2 linked regions of the Schizosaccharomyces pombe genome follow. The gene in region 2 interacts genetically with the main gene of each other region. Each region holds a gene or a part of one and is shown on either strand. Other genes may lie near its edges.

Region 1 (3,929 bases), 1.3 Mb from region 2:
AAAGACAACATGTTCGTATTTAACAGGCAAATATTTGGAGAGAATATCATTCGTACGACGAATAATAAACCGATTGACAATCTTGGCTAACTCAGCTAACTTAGCATCACCATTCTCCTTATCTTTTTCTGTTCCGTCAGCATCACGACCTTTTAAAATTGGAATTTCATAATTTTTTCTGAACTCTTGCCTTGAACCTAACAACCCAGGATTCGCAAAATTTAACAACGAAAAGTATTCGCTTAGATCATTTTGAATAGGGGTACCAGAAAGGATGACACGCCTTTGAACGTTTAGCTTGTCTAATGCCGTAAAAGTCAAAGAATCACTATTCTTAAGACGATGACCTTCGTCACAAAGAAGCATTCCAATTTCTGCGTTGTTGAGATGCTCAACATAACTTCTAAGGGTTTCATAACTGGCAATAAGCACTGGACGTGTGACTTGTCGTCCATGTACGGATGCCCATTGTTGCAAAGCCATGATTAACTCCTGTTTGGAGCTTTTACCGTCCAATATGAATGGAGTAATAGCATCTTTTCCTAACCATTTGACAAGTTCATTAGCCCAATTTTTGACTAAAGAAGAAGGACAAGTTATAATTGCCTTTTCAATTGTCGGTTTTCCAGCCTGAGGAGACTGTTTTAAAAGGGTCCATAACAAAGCAATACATTGAAGTGTCTTACCAAGTCCCATCTCATCTGCCATAATACATCCATTTGCACAACGGTCAATCCTTCCAGTTACACACTTGTACAAGAATTTGACACCTTCTATTTGATGAGGTCTTAGAATACGAGCAAGTTTTGGATCAATGACAACAGCAACAGGAGGAGGTGGAGGTTTTTCTTTCTGAATTCCTAGTAGATCTTTCAAACTTTTATTTGGTCTTCTATGCTTTGAGGTATTAGAGGTTATGAGACTTTGCTCGGTAGAACAGCTAGCCACTGTGTCAGTGGAGACACATGAATCATGGTCACTTTCAGGCTCACTATCAGAAATTTCTTTCTTTCCTTTTCGATTTTTTAACAATTCATCTTTTTTACGTTTTTCCGCTAAGACCTCTTTTATATCAGGAATGATCTCATCTGCATCAGTAGTGGGATCATATAAAACGATAGCAAATTCATCAGCAGGATCGTAAAGGGGACGAGGAATAAAATCCACCTTCCTTTTCATTCCCAGTGTAGGAGGTGGACGATGTGCACACAGTTTAGATATATCTTCATGACCCTTGATAGGTTTAGGCACAGAGAACTGTTTCTTAATGACTGTTGAGGGATCTCGTCGTTCATGATTTAGTATTAATCGATTAGCTTCTTTGATGGTTGCCAACCCAGACACATTTTCAGATACGTAAGCTGAATCATACTTCCCATCAACAGAACCATATTCGCTGTAGTTAACTCTTGGCTTTTTGCGTAAAGGAAGCTCTTTTCGCTTTTCTGAAATCACTAAAGAAGGGCATTTAAACTTTTTAAACAACTTTCCAGGAACATTCTCTTTGTTTTTTGATAAAACAGTATTTAACTTTGAAGAAGTAGAAATTCTAGGTTTAGCAGTTGTTGGTTGCTGAATCATTAAATATATTAGCAATTATTAAAAAAGAGATTACTGAAATAGAAGAAAGGGTAGGAAAAGAGGGATAAGGATTCAAACAAAAAAAAAAGGAAAGTGCTGTTTATACCAATGGTATGTGTTGAGAAATATCTAGATGTATATATAAATTAAATTCTATTACTATTATAGCGTGTCGCGTTCTTTAAATTACGCACCATTGTTACCCTTCACTAAACATGGTATACAAATAATGAAATTGTGAAATATGAATCAATTATTTCTGGTATCGGCTAAATATGTGTTACAAGTTTGTTATTGGTAATAATTTTAGCTTCACTATCTAACATTTCTTGTAGCAAATTTTATGGTTTACTAATACTTCGAATTATTAGCCTCATAACATTTGCGATAAATCAAGTAACTATTTTAAACTAAAAGTAAAATAATAAAGCATCAGTCTCTAACAAAAACATTACGGGAAATAAAAATTAGCTAATCTACTATACTATTATATCTTCATAGTCAATAAACCCCCCAAAAAAACATAGTATTACTATATTAAATACATTCCCTAACATTTGACAAAAACCTCGAACTTTACTTCTTACCTCCATCCTTTTCATAGTTTTCTGTCTTCATATCGTTCAGACCCAATTCCTCATTTACTTGGAATGAACGTTCATACTCCTCAATAGTCATATTTGGATCTGGATCGGGAGCGTAATAATTCTGCAGATAACTTTGTGAAAGAGGATCATCTAAAATAAGAGTGAATTGAGTAGCACCCTCACGTGCAGCCGTCAAGTTGCAGAGAAATTGTTGCCAGTTAGCGACTTGCTCAGGAGTCATAGAATCGGTCTCCTGAGAAAACACACGGCCATATAACTCATCATAAACTTGAGCTAGAAGACCTTCAATGGTTGTGAATCGTCCACCCAAAGTACCTGGGAACAAATCAAGTCCAAGTTCAGGAATTTTAAGAGATGCGGTTTCAGATTTGAGAATATCACGGGATAAGTCCTCGGCATCCATGACCTTTAAAGTAATTTTTCGACCTTTGGGTGGAATTTCACCACCAGTTTTTACTTCGTTGGAACGATATCCACAACGATCACAAACAGTAGACATGATAATAACTTCTTTGAAATGGGGAATATCAAGCAACTTCATGTGGGTGTCACATTGATGTGAACAAGAGGGACAAGTTGCATGGAAGGTATGTACCTCATTGGGATCGACTTCCACAGCAGTAGCATCATGTTTAAGTGTATTAGAAGCGTTGTTTGTTTGTGTCTTGACGTCTTCAGGTTGATCAGTATCCACAAGACCCAGCTTCGTATTCTGCTCCAAAGTACGCTTGTAGCTAACCTGAGACCATCGGTCACCATCTCGGCCAGGTTTCATCTCGATCCAGCTGTTGCCCGTAATATCGTCAACTGTGATGGTAAATGGTACAGATCCAGAACGTAGACTATTCACTTTCTCAATGAAAGCATTTATTTGGTCATATAACTGAGGAGCAGACTCCTTACGAGATTCTTGTTCTTTACTTAAATCATCCACCACATTACTCAGAATCCCCTCAATGGTAGTTAACTGGCCTAACCTTCCCGGGATTTCTAGCTGAATTTCAGGAATACTGACAATAGCCTCCTGGCTCTTTACAACTGTCCGATTTAAATCTTCCTTATCCTCAACATGGAAAGTAATTTTGCTTCCTTCCGGTTGAATTGTCTCAGCGTGTTGAACTTGCGCATTCTTAAACCCACAATGAGGACATTCAAACGACATTAAAACAACCTCACGGAAGTATGGAATGACCGTCAACAATAATTTAGTAGTACCGTTTTTTCCACACTCCATACACAACGATTCGACTTCTTGAACACCATTTCCTTCCCTATCCTCAGCTGTTGACACATTTTGTGCAGCATTGCCAATACTTGTGAACAATTCTTCCTTTTTTTCTTCCGCCATGCTCTCAAATTTTCTTTTTAGCGTTATTTTGATTAGATGTGTTTAAGGACAAGTACAGAATAACTTGTACCAATATAAAATTTGTCTTCACTTGAATGGAAAAAATTTTCCTTAATGACCCAATATAAACTGTCTTTAATGAAAAACAAAATTAAAACTAAAGTAAAATATGGTAAAATGCAAAAATTTTACTTTTTTAAACCAAAATATTCTGTTTAAAAAGAATCCCCCAGAATATTCACGATGGTTAACTGAATGGTTTTGGTTAGCCAGCGGTGGCACTCAGTAAACAAATGAAGGAAAGTCATGAAACCTTGGATTCCTTCGAATAGAACGTAGAATAATACCTGAAAGCTAATCCTGAATACCTCAATTACCTTAAAATGAGCTCA
Region 2 (3,929 bases):
ACAACGTTCTTTAAAATTTACTCACGTTATTATCGGCTTTGCGTTGCTAGTTAGAGGTACTTCTTAAAGCACTACTATCTTATACCAAAGTCTCCTAGTCTACTAGCAAATACTATTGGGCTTTGATAGCACAGGTATGCAATAATCTTTTGTTAAATCATCAAGGCTTAGTAAACTTATTGAGCACCAAATATGAATAATTAAAAATGCATTAAACGCTTTGTGACAATTGATGGCTTCATTGAATTGTTGATTTAGCATCTCAACATTATTTATTAAATATACCAAGAATAAAATATTATTAGGATTCCTATATCAGCTACGCAGTTTGTTATCTGTTGTAACGATACGTTGGATTACGTCGAAATCTCCTTGTTATCTATTATATTGCACTATACTGGTAATGTAAGTAGCAACTTGTTATTAGTATTCTATATGATTACATTTTTAGCCATCACTAATATTGCCTACAGCTGAACCTCGTTCCTCAGTTCAGTTATAGCTTCTATTCGTAATTATCTAATAGATGTTACCAGCGGGTATTTTTGTATACAGAATAGTTATTCTCAATTACCAATAAAAACACCTTAGCTAATATTCTAACATATGATATTTAGCGATAGACAAGCATAATGTAGCATAACATATAGTAGAATTGCAGGTATTACAAAAGCGATGAATATATTCACAACTTTGAGCCATGGAAATCGACCATACACATTTTTTTGGTGTAGCATATGCTCAAATTGGCTTTAAAAAAAAGTTCATGAAATAAAGAAACTTAGTCATCGACAATGGACCTTGGAAAAATAGAAATCCGAAAATTAACGTGATACTGTTTCATATTTTGTATTATTTATTTAGTGTGCGTGACGCATGTTATTAAATATAGCCTTTGTCAAGTTCGTTAAATTAAGCTTATTTTTTATAGAGTAATTGAATCTATTGACGTAACTTACGCCTGCGATACAGAAATGCAAACAACGAATTTCAACTTTTAAAATCTACCATTGTCTAATATTTAAAAAAGCTAGAAATGAAATTGAGGGATAAATGGAAAATTTATTTAGGGTTAACGACTATCAAAGTTCAATGCCCTTGTTTTTTTTTGTTTCACAATGATGAAAATCGAACCACTACATCTAACTTAGATTCGGTAAAGTCTAAAAAAAAAAGAAGGAAGACGATATCTGATGCTTCAATCGTTTCTAATGGATCTCTAGTCTCTCATCCATCTATTGACAAGGGAAAACTCTCTATTCTCAAGCGATATAAAATGTCGCATCGATTAACTGCAATTGATAAACTAAGACCGCTAACTGTGTTGGTAGCGTGGAAACAATTAAACATTGCTATGAGACCAATATTTCCGCAACATCGTTACACCGAACAGGATAAGAAGAATTGGAAAAAAAAGGTTATTATCGAAGATTTAAATTTTTTAGTGCTGCGGTGTATATGCGCTTGCGAAGCAATAAGCGATTTTGAAGAGCTTTTGGGAAATATGCGAATTGGACTGATAATTGACATTTCATTGCTGGGTATGAATAGCAATGAGTCTTCCTTTCTACACTATCTTGTTGAGGTGTGGTCGATTTTTTATTTAGAAATATTGCCGTATATCGAAGCTACGTTTTTGCCTGTTACTTTTGCAAAATTTGAGATTGCTCAATTATTTGAAGAGCCCATGAAAACGTACTGGTTAAAAAAGAGTGCTAATATAGATTTGAAACTGTTTTCTATTTGGGTGTTTCGTAAATTTGTTGTAATGCCAAAGCTGAAAAAGACAAATCGATTCATTGAAATTCCTCAATTGAATACTCAGCAGCAGATTTTACTCGTCCAGATGATTTCCATTATTTCTCTCATAAAGCCACAAGATGAATCCGAAGATCTTCTAATGAACTGGCTAAACGAACTGACTTTAAAATTTTTATATGTCTGAAATTTAATATGTTTTAATAGAAGATAGACTTTTTATACTTTCAATATTTGTTTTTAAAGCCCATTTAAGCAATTTATCTTTTAATATTTGCGGCTTTTGTTAGGTATTTAATAATGTTACCTATTCCTTGTTACTCAATGGTGTTTCTATTTTGCTAACTGGAGTATGCAACAGGACCTCCATATAGACACTTTTTAAAATCGAAAGAACTCTTCTAAGCCCTCTTATGTAATACCATCTTTCCCATGGGTTTGTAGGATGAATAGTTTCCTTTTACTTGACCATGTGTCTGACTCTCAGGATTCTGGAAGTGAATGGTCAAATACTCATGGGTCTTTAATTTCACAACGTGGAAATGAATACGATGGAATTACGCCGGCTACTAAAGAAAAAAATCAAAATAAGCTAGAAATTCTGAACAATGAAACCACCATCGGTTCTACAAAGTCATCGGTGTCTTCATTGCCCGAATTGAATAGGAATGTTTCTTTTGAAAAAAGTGATCAAAATTTAGCTGAAACAAAGAGGGAAGAAGAAAACAAACGAACTGAGGTTTTTAAAAAAGATGCCGAACACGAAGCGGTTGTTGTTAAAAGAGATTTTCGCCCTAGACGTCCTGAGCAAACCCGGCCTTATACTTACGATTTCTTAAGGCATCAAATAGAGTTTAAAAGAATAGGCTTGGTACCCATCACCGTACCGCATGGTTTTTCTTCTGATCGATCTATTACTTCTAAGTCCTCTCATAAACCTGTAAATGTTATAGTTCGTAATCGTGCTTCTTCACGTAAACCACCCTTGACCTCTACTCATCGCTTTAGAAGGTATGGAGCTGTAATATCTGATAGCGATGATGATGAGTCTAATACTGAGCAAGATCATTCAAAGGAATCTAATCTGAATACAGCTGACAATGACCTCGCATTGTCGTCTACTATTGAAGGAAAGAAAACCTCAACTAGCAAAGAGGCTTTAGAATCTGAGTCTTTACTTTCCGATTCGGATCAGTCTATGACAAATATCTCATCGAATTCTACTGTGAGTGATCTGAATTTGAAAACTTTAAAGAAAAGATTACGAGGAGTTTTACCACCATCATTTCTAACTCTTCAAGAAAAAAAAAAATTGGAAAATAGAGGTGTCAAAAAAAAGACATCATTACACAAGAGTGTTATTGAGGGAGAAAAAATAAAAGGTGTGGCTCGACGGAAGTTGCATCCTAGATCGACAGCTAAACTATCTAGTGAATTAGGAAACGAAATATCGGATTCTGACAATAGCATTTCTACGCCAACACCAACTGATGATTCACGGTTTGACACCAGCGAGTTTTTAGATTCAATTTCTCGTGATAATGGCTGGTTGAAAGAAGATGTGGTTGATCAATTATGGCTTCCTAAAAGAAGTTTATCCGCTCTTAAAAAATCAAGTTCTTTGACGTCGGAAAACCCCTTTCAGCTAAATGTAGCAGCCAATGCTGTTTCTACTATTCCTGTCTATCGCACAACTAAAACCAAAATGAAAAAAAATAGATTTAAATATGTCGAAGTGGAAAAATTACCAGACCTTATCCTTGAATCGTATGGGAAAAAGGCGCCAAAGTTTTTGAGGGTGTTTGCTCGAAGTTCATCTCATATTCCAAAAATGATTAGAAGAAAAAGACAAATGGATTCCAAAAAGTATTTTTCCTTCGACAAAGAATCCGATCGCCAAGTTATTGATCAAGTTCTTTCTGATTGGTATTCAGGTAAACATGAGCTTGTTCAACAATCTCATTCTTACAAAAAGCCTTCAGATTCTAAGTCAGTTGGTGGAAATATTTTTTCTGTTAATTCTAAAAAGCATAGTGTAAATATTAACGCTAAAACAGCAGCAAATAACGGTTTGAGTCATCTTCAAAATTTTAGCGAGGAACTCTTAAAAAAAAGAAAGCTATTTTCTTCTCTTTTTTCTAATAACGTTTCATACAAAAAATCCAAAAAGT

What was found.
Region 1: mutations in mus7 (region 2) and rad54 are lethal when combined (synthetic lethality), as found in Schizosaccharomyces pombe (one study listed by BioGRID).

What each region holds. Positions count from the first base shown.
Region 1 is NC_003424.3:3,681,565-3,685,493, forward strand, and holds the start of rad54 (DNA repair protein), read right to left. Parts: upstream 1,702-3,929; 5' UTR 1,582-1,701; coding exon 1-1,581. Other genes in the region: EF-1 alpha-binding zinc finger protein Zpr1, read right to left, coding at 2,158-3,537. UniProt on the Schizosaccharomyces pombe protein: Plays an essential role in homologous recombination (HR) which is a major pathway for repairing DNA double-strand breaks (DSBs), single-stranded DNA (ssDNA) gaps, and stalled or collapsed replication forks.
Region 2 is NC_003424.3:2,412,245-2,416,173, reverse strand, and holds the start of mus7 (DNA repair protein Mus7/Mms22), read left to right. Parts: upstream 1-2,126; 5' UTR 2,127-2,203; coding exon 2,204-3,929. Other genes in the region: HbrB family protein involved in TOR signaling Bit2, read left to right, coding at 1,037-1,945. UniProt on the Schizosaccharomyces pombe protein: Involved in protection against replication-dependent DNA damage. May act by restoring active replication forks, repairing unusual DNA structures, and/or preventing aberrant DNA rearrangement at arrested replication forks.